Styela clava: one gene and its partner. Each later gene encodes a partner of the first gene's protein in a complex. Links are inferred from orthologs where the notes say so. Each region holds a gene or a part of one and is shown in the gene's direction. Other genes may lie near its edges.

Region 1 (3,931 bases):
CGTCAAAAATTTTGAAAAAATATATAGAATCAAATTCAACACAAAAAATTTGACAAAACCAGGGGAAACACTTTGTGGGAGTGATGATGCCTCAGTATAGTACGGTATCACTCTGCTTCTGTCACGCGTGGCCTATTCGTTTGAGCCAGGGATTTTCGGTTACTGATGCCGATAACTTACCGCTCTACCGTATGTCGTATAAGGTAAGAAATGTATGGCAGTAGAAATACCGTACCGCTGTACCGGTAAACTACATAACGTGGGCTTCACGGGTTTGAATACAGTGCTTTGACAACCCCAGGGCTGTAGGGTAGACTGAGTACGGTACCGTAACTTAACGAACGCGAACTGGCGAACGGTAAGACTGTGCTGTCAACTCTTTACAAAATCGCAAAATCGTGTCTAATTGATGAATTGGTTAATACTGTAATAACTGAATAAGGTAATCTGATAAAAATACATGGTTTATAGATTATATTACAGTATTGGGACAGTGGTATGTATAAAACAGGTCAAATTTTTTTCCAGCAAAATCTGATAAAAACAACATTGTAGCCTCAACTCCATAATTCCGGTAATTCATTATTTGTACGATTAAAATGTGTTTGCGAGTTTCGTGGCCCATGAAGGTTTTTGAAAGCCTAAAAGTTCCAATGGCAAATACGGTACCGGTAGGTCTAATTGCAATATGCAGAACTGTAATTTGAATATTGACATCGGTCAAAATCCGATCGGAACAGATCTGCAGATTGTATCGGATTGGAAATTATGTTAGATTTGTATTGGATTCAAACAATTCCAGTCTAATAAATAGTAATGATACTCAGCAAATCTATGTATATCTCTTCTTTCAGTCTTTTGTTTTGGTAATTACCGAAGAACAAAAAAACGCTGAAATTACGGTTGCGTGTACAGTCAGACAGTGCATTTATAGATTGCACTTTTTTTTAGTTTATTTTCCAGTGCCATTTTGACATTTTGAGTCAAAATGAGAGTGGGAGTGGTGACTCCTCTGCGGCCCATGGGCCGGGGCCACGGCCCATCGAATTGGGCCTCGGCCCATCAGGCTATGGGCCGCGGCCCATCAAGTTGTGTAAAGAAACTATTCACTTGGCTAACACAGACAGTCCCCGAACTCATAATAGAACTATAATGTAAAAAATCTGAATTTTTTTTGTCCTAACCCTAACCTGGTACACATACTACAGGAGTATATTTTTTTGGTTCGAGTATTGACAATTTGGTGAAAATTGAAAATTTTGTTAAGATAATTGAATTTTTTCTGATTTGGCCACGGCCCATGTGGCCCAATTAGATGGGCTGTGGCCCCGGCCCATGGGCCGTAGAGGAGTCACCACTCCTGTAGTAAAATGGAGGCTCAGACTGTCTCATAAAGGAAGGAATTTGCCCTCACTGTTACAATTGATGTCATTCAATGTGGGGGCTATTCTTGGAATCTTCATGCCATACTGCTGTCCTGGTGGTAATGTGCATATTTTTACTGTATCACCACCTAATAAGCAATGTTACTTTTCATTTTAGATGTATTTATATCATTTAATTAAATTGTTATTAATTGCATAGAGTTATGTATAACAATGATCAACTAAAGACCAAACTCTCCGAAGACTATTTCTGACGATATGGCGAAGCTTTTTGAATACCGGTATACAGAGCGTGTGGAGAAGACTTATTACAATCATGGATTGTTTATGTCAAATCATCCTGTATTGATGATATGCATATCTGCAGTAGTTATGCTATGTTGCTGGTAAGTCACCCATGACTTTTTAAGACAATTTCTTCTTATTTGTGCAAATCAAAAGTTTAGGATATTTTAAGGCAGATTTGCCTCTATATATATAAATTTTTCATATAATACATGGAGAGAAGTTTAAAAATTAACTTAATAATAAGGCGAACCATGTTCTCTTGTCTCGTTTGGTTCCATTTTTCTAATGTATGGTCATGTCTGGTAGAGTAAGCGATAGCAAATGATGAAGCATAATCTTTTCTTTTGGCGGGCCGCAAAAACTTTTCAGGATGTCTCGCGGGCCGCAGTCGGAAAGATGAACCCAAATATGATCAAAACATCACGAGTATACTCACTTAAAATACTATATATTTAGAAATGAGAGTTTACTGTTCTAATCAGTTGAAGGGAGATATATAAAACCTTCAGTTATTTTTAAAATGCTTCCCGAAAAATACCTTGGTATTACGGTATAATATTTCCTCGTGTTTGGTTTTGTAATGTCGCTTCAAATTAGAGTCTTTCGTGACAGATATTACTTGAAAACACACCAGACACTGTATCATAACGTTGTTGTGGGTTAGGAAATACGGCGTCCTCACAGTTGACTTCGGTCACTTTTTTTACACTCATTGTATGATGAATCTTTATATTTGACTAATTTTATTACTCGCAGCGTGAGCAGTTCTGGTATCTTCTGGCTATCGTCAAAGAACAACCAAGTCCGTCTAAGTTGGGACTCTGGACCAGCTAAAAAAATGGATCGCTTGGCGCTAAGTCAGCTCTGCGGTTGGTCACTGCTGTCACATGGCCAGTGCTTGAAAATATAGGAGTGTTTTTACTAAAATAGTAGCACAAAACGTCTCTCCAAATGAGGAGTTAGGCTACTTGACGAGAGCTTAAAGTACGAAGTTTAGATAAAAAGCGCGACTCATCTCATCGGCTTGGTCCTAACTGCACAAGACAATCCATTCACCTTGTACCAATCACAGGACGTCATTCCCATATTGGCACCGTCTTGACGTTTATAGCTACAACATTCAAATTCTGTGATTTTAACAAACATGAATTCCGACATCGGGATTAGGAAAAAGGGTATTCTCAAGTGCAATAGTTTAGAAAATAACTCAAGTTTTGCCAGTAAATACAAATATCTGCGAATGATTTAGTGCACGCTAAAATTGCTCTGCAGGCCGCAGGGAATGTGTCGGCGGGCCGCGGTTTGGACCACCCTGTGCTAGGCTATTGATATTCTTAATCTTTGCTTTTTCAGCAGATGTTGCAGAAGTTTGGTATTTACATTTTTATCTGGTATGAACACTAATTACATATTGCTAGTTTCATTTCTCATATTGATTGATTATTTGAATTCTTCTGTTTGTGTGCTGGCAGCAAAATTCGGTAATAGGATTTCTGCTACTGCTGTGATTCTTTGAAGAAGAAATTGAAATATATAAAGTACGACCATAAAGTCTTTTTTACAATATAGAAAATGTGTAATTAGATTATCACTTGCTTGTAATTACCTCCTTTTCATTTTAGCTACCCCTTATTGAATCTCCCTCTACCTGGAAGTGAGCCAACAGAATTTCTTACTCCTTTATCAGACTTCAGTCAAGGACTTTACACAGCAGGAAAAAATTTACCGTATTCAAGTCGTGATGTTCCGGTGGATTTACCACAATGGGTTTGTTGTTTTTCCATTCTATGAGAATCTCCCCAAATATGGGCATGGTGGCCGAGCTTATCAAGCATTACCTAATTAACTGTGATGGTATCGCAAGTTAAAATGTTGGGGTCAAATCCCATGCACACCACCTCACATAGGGTGTAATAAATCGGGTATGCAAGGCCGAAATGGATTCTGGTTTCTCCAAAAAAAGTAGATTTTTCCATATCATTAGATATCAGTGCGAGTCCTTGTTCAGATCGAAAAGCGTGATTAGGCGTCGTATAAAAAAAAATTCTGAAACAGTAATAGGACAAGATGATACATTCTTGCATCACTGTTGCCACCACTCATGCCTCATTTCCTTTGGTGATCGATTCCCTGCATCCTTGTAATAACATCTAATTTGGATCATTCTTGTATGTTGTATCGAAATTATTATCTTTCCAACATAAGATTATCGTCAATAACCATTTAAGTCACAGTAAAAGTATGAAGAAATGTTGAAG
Region 2 (3,931 bases), on another chromosome or scaffold:
GCTGGTCTACACTGGTATAGTGAATAATGATAACAGCATGCTATGATTTACTCGATTTCATTAATATAAAAATGCATAGGCCTACCATATCACCATACGATTTAGGGAACAAATATAGGGTGAATATTTTGCGTATGTTATATATTGTCCACCGCATGTAAATTATTTTTATATTTATTCCGGGGTAATCATGTGGCGAGCCACGCCTCTCGTCCGGTTGCCGGTTCATGTCGGGCATGGGGTGGAGGAGAGAGAGGGAGATTTCATTAAACAACACAACACTAACCGGCGTACTCCTGGGTACTCCTGAGGTATGCGCACCAAGATGTCGCATAACCTGAACCCTAACCTGGTACACAACCGGAGTTATGCGCCATCTCGGTGCGCATACTTCAGGAGGTCCCAATGATGAATATAAAAGCCACAGTTTCGGATAATATTGTCCTGTGTGGGTTTGCAAAATCGACGAAGATTGTGAAGGCCCTAAAAACTATGGATATCATTTTATTGAATTATATTATAGGACAAAAATCATAGTAACACAGCTTCTGTGTCAATAGATGTTAAAAATATCCCCCAGGTTCAAGTATTCAATACATAATGATTAAAGCAGAAGAACCACTCATTATGCACTGTATTATTTAAGAGCGGGTAGGCTACAGTGCTTCTGTTTCATGCTGTTTCCATGTGTTTTGCGCAGTTTCCCTCTGTTTTGTGCTGTACGGCAGGAGAGTGCAACCTTTTTCACTGGCGTGCCAAATTCAAGAAACTGAGTAAAGCCGCGGGCCGCACCTTTATTTATTATAGACTTTCTAGTAGTTACAAGCACAAAAATTGTTTATATTTTCTATAGTCACCTTATGTCATTATTAGGGTTTCTTGCAGAAATAGTGAGTTAAACGTATAAACTTCTGAAGAAACTGCTATTTAAATTTATCGCCACACCGACTTTAATGCAAGTCAGTGAGAAACACGTTTTTGTAATATATATTGTATATTTTGCAAGAAAACTTTGCTAGCTGGTTTTGCTAATACAACAGTGGCACTCAGGCACTGGTATAGGCTTTGTGGCGCAGAAGGATTAGAATTTCTCGCACGTACCATATTACCTAAACTAAATGCTCGTTTCACGGGCACGCCATTCAAAGTTGTTATTTCTCCGCGGACCGCACAAATTTTTCTTGCGGGCCGCATTTGGCCCGCGGGCCGCAGTTTGCACACCCCTGCTGTACGGTATCCTTCTGTTTCCCTCTGTTCCCTCTGTTCTGCGCTGTTCACCTCTGTTTTGCGCTCTTTGCAGCGTTTCGCGCTGTATCCATCAAAGTGAATTATAGTCTCTTTGGTATTCAGTAAGTTGTGAGACCATCGGTTAGCTAAGGTAGGTTAGGACAGTACTGCAGTAGGAAAAAATGACTAGCCAAACGTTATATACGGTACCGGTACGGTACTGATATACATAATATACTGGTTTTACTCCAAGAATATTAGGGTACCGAACCAGTTTCCTGCTTTCAGGCTTTGCATGTTCCGGTACCGGTACAGCAGTTCAGGTAACTTTTGATACTTTCAAGAATTAAGGTGTACCGGTACCGGTACCGTATTACGGTACCGTACCGGTATATGATATCTGTGAACGCAGCAGTAGTTACACCTGTACACGGTGTATGAAAAAAATCATTCGTTACGTTGTTTATTTGGTTCTATTTCGTTATGCAATACAGCAATAGGTTACCTAACTTGGGTGTATTTACATTTTTGTAGCCTGGGCATGCATGTTATGAATCAAATAGTCTGATTGAAGGCCCGGATTTGACATGCGATTCTTAATACAGTAATACCACAAAACGGAGCAGTTAAGGAATTAAAAAAATTCATGAAATGGCTTTTACAACATCTGATCTACTTCGACTTCCGTTGCTTGTATTTTTTGATGCAATTGTGGCAAATAGAATCAACCTTTGGAGTTTTGGATTTATTGCTGGATATGCACTCTCTTGCATCGGTGAGTTAAGTGCTTAATATGGTGAATAAACAAGCCGTCATGTCAGTATGCATTTCATGCTTATAATATTACCTGTAAAAACTTATTCTATTATAAACAGTGAACCGTCGTGTTTTGGTATGAGATTGGACTGTTTCAACTTTGTTTTTACTATGATTGTGTATAATAAGGCCAAGTGCAGTTTTAAGTATTCTGTGGCATCTGCAGCTGCAGTAAAACCATGGCAGTATTTCCATACCATGGCCGCTACGGTCAAACTCATGGCAACTGACTTTTTAGCTGCCACAAACCAATGTCGAGCTGCCGTTACCGCGGCAGCAAATTGAAAACCAATGGCAGGTAAAATTTTGCTGCCGTAATCGCGGCATGTGGGCCGTAAAGACAGGGCTGTCTATTATGGTGACAAATATTGGGTAAGTTGGAACGTTTTTCTTATGGATACAGTTTTGATTGATTTGGGGTTAGGGTTAGGGTTTAAGTAGATATAATTCCACATGATCAATTAAAATCTGGTACATTAATTTGTGAATATACCGTTAATACTGATTACTGAATAGCGCTATAAAACCATGGCAAGAGCTGCCGCGGTTCGTTCGTGGCAGGAGCTGCCATGAAGTGGTAAGAACTGCGCCTCAATAAGGCCAAGAGCAGAGTGGAAGTGGTGACTCCTCTTCGGCCCATGGGCCGGGGCCACGGCCCATCAAATTGGGCCTAGGCCCATCAGGCTATGGGCCGCGGCCCATCAAGTTGTGTAAAGGAACTATTCACTTGGCTAACACAGACAGTCCCCAAACTCATAATAGAACTATAATGTAAAAAATCTGAACAAAATTTTGCCCTAACCCTAACCCGGTACACATACTACAGGAGTTTATTTTTTGGTTCGAATATTGTCAATTTTGTAAAAATTGAAAATTTTGGTAAGATAATTGAATTTTTCCTGACGGGGCCGCGGCCCATAGCTTGATGGGCCACGGCCCATGTGGCCCAATTAGATGGGCCGTGGCCCCGGCCCATGGGTCGTAGTGGAGTCACCACCCCTGTAGCAAGAGCATGCCTTTCAACACCAGTTACAATAACTGAGCGAACAGCTTTTATACGGTTTATAAGTCCACATATTTCCACTCTTCAGGACTAATTACCATAACTCATATTAGTGTATCAATATCAACTTTGTCAGTTCTGTAGTTTGTAATCCACTAGAATCGATTTGGAGTATCCTTGGAATTGCAAAGGGTTTTCTCGAAAATTGCTTCTCCGATACCATAAAGCAACATTTTCTAAGTTGTTTTACACATGTTCACAGGTTTATGCATCAGTATTGGAATATTCACCTGTCAACCTCCAATTATAATCAAATTCTACAGATTGACTGCTGCAATTTTGGTTCATTGTGTAGTACTGGGATGGAATTATTCAGTGACAAGACTAATTCACCATGATTATTATATCAATAATGTTTACAACAATTCAGCAATGAGCCAAATCAACGATTATATATGGAATGGAAAAGAATTACCATTTAGAGAGGTTGGAATATTTCGTATTTCTAATCAGTTTTGGCATAGGCACATCCAAAAAATTCAATTTCTAATTGAAAATTGCTGATATTTGAAGAACAATTAAATAAATCCAGATATGGTAATTTTCCTATTGAATGTTTAATTATATTCAATTGTGGTTTGAGAAAATTTAGTTTTTATTATTATTCACCCAGTGAAGTATTTATTCCAAACATGAATGGTAATTTAAACAAATTTTTTGTACAAGTTTTCTCTTACAATGTGGTGATTAACACCAATGGAAAAGCTGCAAGCGAATACTACCATGCTTAATGCTATAGTGGTATTTTATCCATGTAACAGAGTTAGAGAGATGTCAGTAGAAAACAGGTGAAATGAGAGATGAGGCTGAAACAATTTGAGACAA

Evidence for each region.
Region 2: sterol regulatory element-binding protein cleavage-activating protein-like (region 1) and E3 ubiquitin-protein ligase RNF139-like share a complex: the UniProt entries of both Homo sapiens proteins name them as parts of the SCAP-SREBP complex. The link is inferred for Styela clava from reciprocal best matches to the Homo sapiens genes SCAP and RNF139.

Annotation. Positions count from the first base shown.
Region 1 is NC_135259.1:11,967,595-11,971,525, forward strand, and holds the start of sterol regulatory element-binding protein cleavage-activating protein-like, read left to right. Parts: upstream 1-1,551; 5' UTR 1,552-1,643; coding exon 1,644-1,771; intron 1,772-3,295; coding exon 3,296-3,440; intron 3,441-3,931. UniProt on the Homo sapiens protein: Escort protein required for cholesterol as well as lipid homeostasis.
Region 2 is NC_135256.1:9,430,340-9,434,270, forward strand, and holds the start of E3 ubiquitin-protein ligase RNF139-like, read left to right. Parts: upstream 1-1,659; 5' UTR 1,660-1,878; coding exon 1,879-2,002; intron 2,003-3,308; coding exon 3,309-3,532; intron 3,533-3,931. UniProt on the Homo sapiens protein: E3-ubiquitin ligase; acts as a negative regulator of cell proliferation through mechanisms involving G2/M arrest and cell death.